Linked DNA regions of Ovis aries. The protein of the gene in region 1 binds, or shares a complex with, the protein of each later gene. Links are inferred from orthologs where the notes say so. Each region holds a gene or a part of one and is shown on either strand. Other genes may lie near its edges.

Region 1 (3,653 bases):
AGTGTTAACTGTTAAGCCCTGTAGACTCTTTGTTGACCCCTATGGACTATAACCCGCCAAGCTCCTCTGTCCATGGAATTCTCCAAGTAAGAATACTGGAGTAAGCAGCCACTCCCTTCTCCAGGAGATCTTCCCAACCCAGGGATCAAACTTGGGTCTCCTGCATTGAAGGTCAACTCTTTACCATCTGCGTCACCAGGGAAGCCCTTCAAAAGGTGAGAAATTTATACTAAATCCTGGGGTCACATGATAAGGGTCACATGAAAAACAATCTAAACTATGTGTATTTTATGAAATGCTTCTCACACCTTTATCAAATCTGATAGGACAAGGCACTACTGAAATGTCCAAATGGGACGTTTGTGTTTGCTGCCCTGAAGAAACAATTTTGCAGTTTGCTCTAAGTTCAAGTGTCTAATTTTGGCCATCATTAGAATCAAAGTCTAGCCAACTAAATTCAAGACATTAATAAATCATTAAAATAAAGCAAGTCAGAATATTCATATTACTAAACTCCAGTGGATACTGAATTTGCTACTATAGACAGCTATCTACCATAACCAAAAGTTTAAATGTAAAATAAAAATAAATGAAAAGGATTGTAAATCTAGGAAACACAGATGCTGAAATAATGCACACATTTCTACTGCTTCTACAGCAGAAACTTTGATCCTAACGATGGCCAAATTTAGACACTTGAACTTAGAGCAAACTTCAAAATTGTTTCTTCAGGGCAGCAAACACAAATGTCCCATTTGGACATTTCAATAGTGCCCTGTTCTGTCAGATTTGATAAAGGTGTGAGAAGCATTTCATAAAATATACATAGTTTAGATTGCTTTTCATGTGACCCTCATCGTTCAAGTTTCCCAGGATTTAGTATAAATTTCTCACCTTTTGAAGGGTTTTCCTGATGACTTAGATAGTAAAGAGTTGACCTTCAATGCAGGAGACCCAAGTTCGATCCCTGGGTTGGGAAGCAGGGATCAAAGTTGCTTCTACAAAGCAACTTCTGGCCCCTTACGAATCCCTAATGTTTAGCAAAAATGATATACAAAAGAACATGCTTCTGCGCAAATTTTTCCCACATAAATAGTTCTAAAGACCAGGAATATCCCACAGCATAGGCAGGCACAGCATGTGCAATGACAGATCAAACGAACATAATTGCTTTGATTAAAACTACCCTTTACCTCGTATGTTGCAAGCCGATCTAAGTAGGTTAATAATTTCAGTCTACAACGGCAAAGTTCCTTTTGTTCCAGCGTTAACCTGTTTTGAAAAACTATATTAGGCCACTTATATTTACCTGCAAGCACATTTCTCTAAGATCTAAAATAGAATAAAAATGATCAATATTCTATTAAGCCCCATACTCATAGGACAATGCACAGAAGCACAGGGCTACAATACTACTAAATGCATTTGACTTGAGTTGCTGAAATAATGTAGAGCAATTATCACTAGTAAGGAACACACTCAGATCACTATTTTAAAAAAATTACCAAATGAACAGTAATATATCATTTACTTTGAAAAGTTCACTAATTTAAGTAGTTCTCGTCTCTTTTTGAGCTCCTTCTCCTTTTTCTTCTCGGCAGGTTCTTCTTCAGGTGGGGAAAGTTCCTCGTAGGAGATACTGTCAATGTCCACCTCACCAGGGAGTGTAAATCTGTGGAAAAAAAAAAAAAGTCAAATTTCCTTGGAGTATGTTTTCTTTATATATATATTTCATATAGTGAAGAAGTACTTTTCCCTACTTTGATTTTATTAAGTTGGTTTCTGCAGAAACAGAAACAACCAACCATTTAAAAGAAAGCTTTGGCCATGTTATAACCAAAGTGATTCTCTCATTTATATCCATGGGGTGGGCAAGAAGTCATCAGTAATCATCACACGTAGGAACTCTGAATACCAAGAAAATGAAAGCTGCTTAGGAAAACATGGGAGGTTACAGTGATGCAATGTAAAACAGCCTATGAAGAAAATGTTGCCCAAAATTTATAATGTGAACCACTTCTATTGAAGGTCTTAAAATGGTAATGAAAGTTGGTTTCATTTAAATTACTTATCAACACACCATCACGTTTATATACCATGTATATAATGTTCCAAATGTCTGATGAACAGCAGCCCCTGTCAAATAACTTTATTATTAACTGACATTTGTATGGTGCTTAAAAGTTTATGAGGCAGTTTCACAAGATAAATAATTTAATCAAGATAATGCTCTGAGGAAGGATACAACGATACAGATGAAGAAAGTGAATGAAACTCAGGCTTGCCTACAGTGGTTCATTTGACCAGTAAGCATGCCCAGGTATGCATCACCTTAAATCCACAGCTTAGACACTGCAAGCATTCAATAAATGTTTGTAGAATTTGCTCTTTTCTTAGCATCAAGTTATCATATGTAAACATATTTCACTCAGAAGAAAAAAAACTGTGATCTCAGATTAAAAAAAAGCATTAGTCAAACCAACTGCTCCATTGCAGAGTAACCTAAATAAAGAAAGTTGACCCTTTCCAATGTCTCAGTTTAAAAAGTTTTCAAAAAGTCACCTTCACTTTTGAATCCAAATCTTTCTGTAACCAACCTGCCATCATCTGCTCCTTTCCCTATGGCTAAAAGAGCCTCCAGGTCTGTGCCTTTTAATCCATATTGAAGCAGTTCCTTGGCGGCATCCACATTTTCAGGAACTCTTTCCAAACACTCATGAAGAACCCAGGATCGTTTCTTTATTTTACTCTGGATACAGAGAAAATGAAAAACAGAGGCATTAAAGAACCCATGACATCTGATAGCACCTGAGAACTGCCTTCCAGAATCACAGCTAGCTACCTAAGAGCATAGCCACAGGCAGCTGCTGGAGCACCTCACCATTAAAAATCTTTTTTTTCCTAATGGTGATTAGGACTGAATATAGGGAATATGATTCCACCTGCTTTCCTTCTTCTAATGAAACACACTGAAACACAAAGCTCAGATGACTTTTTTTGGGAAACATAGATCTTCCCAAAATTTTCAGTTGTTCTTTAGTTTGCATTTGGGCTGTATGAAAGAATAGAAAATAAAAAAGACAAGATTTATCCTACTATGACAAACATGCTTAACCTTGTTTAACTAACGTTTTGTTTCATGTATCAAGGTTCTGTATTTACTTGGCCAGGAGCTGTACCCCAAAGCACAGACGATGATTCAGTCATGAAGAATCATGCCATGCTGTTCTCTGGGAAGACCAAGGGCCAGTCTTCCCTCCAACAGCTTTCTCTGACTCCATTCGAAATCCCTGACTTGCTCTCTTCCTAGAGTCTTTGTGGATACAAATTTAGAGTAAAATCTGGCTCATACCCTCTATGTTCCTTTACATATTCCCTCATATCAGTTCTTTCCTCTGGAGTCTCTGAATTCACATCCCCCTCTCCATGTCTGTGGCCTCTATACCAGTCCATGTCATTAACACTTAACACCTTGGCAAGGTTTCCCACTTGAGCCCAAATCAATATATCTAATCATAGGCCCCAGTGTCCACTATCATGGAATATCACATTCAACAGGCTGGTTTACTTACAGAGCCCATTTATGCATCCAAGAAATAATATTTACTGAGTACCATCTGTGTGCCATGAAAATATAGCAATGAATAAAACAG
Region 2 (3,653 bases), on another chromosome or scaffold:
AGAATCCACCTATGATGCAGGAGACATGGGTTTGATCCCCGGATCAGGAAGATCCCCTGGAGAAGGGAATGGCAACCCACTCCAGTATTCTTGCCTGAAGAATTCCATGGATAGAGGAGCCTGGCAGGCTGCAGTCCACAGGGTCACAAAGAGTGGGACATGACTGAGTGACTAACACTTTCACTTTTAAGAGCTATCAAATGTTATGTTCCTTAAAGTTCTGAATTTTATTGATTTTGACATCATTATATAAGCTTAGCTTTTTCTGAGATTGCAATTACCATTCAACATATTTCCCAAGTTTAAAATCTATAAGGGAAAGGTTTACTTTATAAACTACAATTTCATGAAAGGATGGCTTTCTTTTCCAATGATTAAAATATCAGGATGATTTAACTATATGAGACTTAGATGAGAAAAATATGTACTGTAATCATACCTCCTAAGTTTGGCCCAGTTTTGATTCTGTCTAACGTGTGTTATTTCTGCTTGCTACAGATTCAACATTTCAAAAGGTAAAACTGTTCAAATTACTAATATATTACTTAATATAAAAGATTAACTTACAACATTGTCAGCCCAGTCTGCTAGCACTGTTGAGATATAGTTCACGGCATTAAGAATTGCACAGTACCGAAAGCCAAGGGAAGCTCTAGTCTCTTCTTTCATCACCTGAGTTAATCGTATCCTAAAATCATCTACTAAGTCCTTCTGTAACTCCAGGAACTGCAACTTTCTGGAAGCTGTGGGAAGATTTTTATACCTGTCTGTGGAGAAAATTAACAAGACATGTGAAGGTTTATGGGCTTCCCAGCTGGTGCTAGTGGTAAAGAATTCGCCTGCCAATACAGGAGATGTAAGAGACATGGGTTCAGTCCCTGGATTGGGAAGATCCCCTTGAGGATGGCATAGAAACCCACTCCGGCTTGCCTGGAGAATTCCAAGGACAGAGGAGCCTGGCTGGCTACAGTCCATAGGGTCGCAAAGAGTTGGACATGACTGAAGCGACTTAGCACACACGGCATGTTAAAGGTTATGGTATAGGGTTTTCCTATTGGCTAGCTTTGATGGCTTTGTCAAAAATCAACCAACCATTCAAGTATGGATCCATTTCTAAACTCCCTAAGGATGTGTGTTTCACAAGTACTGTCAAAACTCATTGATCTATATACTGATGATCTATGCATTTCACTGTATATAAGTTATGCCTCTAACACAATGTTGTAAATCAACTGTGCTTTATTTTAAAAGTTATGCCTCAATTTTTTAAAGGCATATGAGAAAATCGTATACAAAAATTATTCCACTTCTTCAACAAATGACATTTTTTAAAAAAGGAAGGAGGAACTAGGATAGGTTAAAAGAAACACGTAGCTAAAGATTTATAGGTGAAAAGATGTTTAAAATACTTCAGGAAAAAAGTCTGTATTTTGGGGGGGGAAATACATAATAGAAAAGCAATAGTTTTAAACCTTAGGAACAGATAACCTGAGGGTTCGTTATGCTGCTTTTATATATATATGAGAAATTTCCATAATAAAAGATTTTTAAATCAGTTTTGCTAAATATTTTTGTATTTTAGTGTTTTTCATATTTTTCTTAAAGAATACAGCATTATTTACTGACTGGGCTGGAATGACACCTCTTCAGGTTACCACACAGGCCCAAGAAATGGACAAGACACAGAAGGACCATGGCAGTGACAGCTCAGTAGCCCTGGAGAACCAGCAGGTCTGCAGTGCCCTAGGGGCAACATGGACAGGAACAGACCAACCAGGGCTGGGCCCGGGCCACCCTCCAGACAGAACATTCTTGGAACATAGAAGTTCCTGTTACCATTCCGATCTTTGCCTTCTCCAGGGGATCTTCCCGACCCAGGGACTGAACCCAGGTCTCCTGGATTGCAGGCAGACTTTTTACCATCTGAACCACCAGGGAAACCCCCATTCTTGTCCTTAAAGTTACTTTATTATTTTACTGTTCTATAAACTCTGATATAACAAGGTGAAGAAAATAATATTTAAAATTTGGGTCAATCACCATTTACTGAAGATACTTGAAAAGTTGAAAGACAAGGGAATTCAGGGAAGAAAATTAAATTATTTGTTTTTATGTAACAACTGAGGAATTTTCCCCTCATGTAAACTAATGTTTAAGGTCTTACTTAAATTACAAAAAATCCAAAAGCTAAACTACTGTGCTAGAGTTTGACCAAAATAGAAATTGAATTTGAAGATACTACAATAACCACTTTATGGTATTTTGTCAAACTACTTCAAAAATACTGAGTGAAGAATCAGTAGTACTTTTATTTAATTTTTAAAATTTTAGTGAAGTAGAGTTGATTTACAATGTTGTGTTCAATTTCTGCTATATAGCAAAGTGACTCAGTTATACATATATATATATTCTTTTTCATATTCTTTCCCATTATGGTTTATCACCTAATGGACTCTATCCCACCACCATTCCCCTTCCCCCTTGATAACCACAAGTCTGTTAAGAGTCAGTACTTCTAAAAAAAAAAAGTTATATCTTTAAGACTATACTTGCCAGTTATAACCAAGAGTAGTGTCATAAACGTTTCTGCACAGTCTGGGACTTTCATCTCATCCACATCAGTGATGTCCTTATATTGGGATATCCAGGCAGCTTCTGACGAGAGCATTGAGTCCATTTTTTGAAGAGCAACTGGCACACAAGAAAGATCATGTCAAACAAGTAGTTACAGATTGTAATTCCTAATCTTTCAACTCATAGTTTCTTAGGAATTATTATTTTTCTATAAAAAAATAAATCTACACCCTCCTACTAGGTGCATTATATGTAACATGCTCTGTTTTAAGGTTAAGTAAGATCTTTTACCTCTGCCCACACCTACCCAGAATCTTCAAAATATCTTCAAAAAAATCTTCAGTGACTAGAAAAGCCACATCCAGAATGATTCCATAAGAGCAGAAATACTATATGTAAAATCCATAAAACAGTTAACGCTACTGGGTTAAACTTTAAAAAAAATAGCTGTATTTATTTGGCTGTGCCAGGTCTTAGTTGTGGCACTCAGTATCTTTTTAGTTGCGCATGCAGCATCTTTAGCTGCAGCAAGGAAACTCCGAGTTGCAGCATGTGGGACCTGGTTCCCTGAGGAACAAACCTAGTCCCCCTGTATTGGGAGCACAAGTCTTAGCCACTGGAGCACCAGAGAAGTCCCTGGCTTGAATATTCTATCCTAGAAATACATAGAGTACAATTCTGGGAAAAACTGAAGCTTGATGGGAAGAAAAGAAGATAATCTCTGAAGGCAACTTGATAAACCTCAACCGAGAAAAATTTAGATGACACTAGTTTCTACCCAGAAATGGAGAAGAATAACACCTAAAATTTTGTATTCACAATAAGAGATACCTCTCCCCAGCCTACAGGCATATGAGCACTTACATTTTCTCTCCACAGTCAACCATCTCTGAAAACAGGTCTCCTCTGATAGAATATGCATACAATTAGCAAAAGTGCTAGGATAGCCATGAACGCTGTGTAGTTCTCTTTCAAACAAAAGCACCTCGTCCACCAAATGACAGAAGAGACTGTCGTCATAGAGCAGACAAGGAATATCAGCAGCTAACTTCTCAAGAATCAGCATCATAAGTCCCCGA

Evidence for each region. The genes of interacting proteins can lie anywhere in the genome.
Region 2: NBAS (region 1) and RINT1 share a complex: the UniProt entries of both Homo sapiens proteins name them as parts of the NRZ complex. The link is inferred for Ovis aries from reciprocal best matches to the Homo sapiens genes NBAS and RINT1.

Annotation. Positions count from the first base shown.
Region 1 is NC_056056.1:23,857,008-23,860,660, forward strand, and holds part of NBAS (NBAS subunit of NRZ tethering complex), read right to left. Parts: intron 2,750-3,653; coding exon 2,598-2,749; intron 1,673-2,597; coding exon 1,532-1,672; intron 1,273-1,531; coding exon 1,194-1,272; intron 1-1,193. UniProt on the Homo sapiens protein: Involved in Golgi-to-endoplasmic reticulum (ER) retrograde transport; the function is proposed to depend on its association in the NRZ complex which is believed to play a role in SNARE assembly at the ER. Required for normal embryonic development.
Region 2 is NC_056057.1:48,169,134-48,172,786, reverse strand, and holds part of RINT1 (RAD50-interacting protein 1), read right to left. Parts: coding exon 3,439-3,653; intron 2,692-3,438; coding exon 2,550-2,691; intron 768-2,549; coding exon of another isoform or gene 764-767; coding exon 568-763; intron 1-567. UniProt on the Homo sapiens protein: Involved in regulation of membrane traffic between the Golgi and the endoplasmic reticulum (ER); the function is proposed to depend on its association in the NRZ complex which is believed to play a role in SNARE assembly at the ER.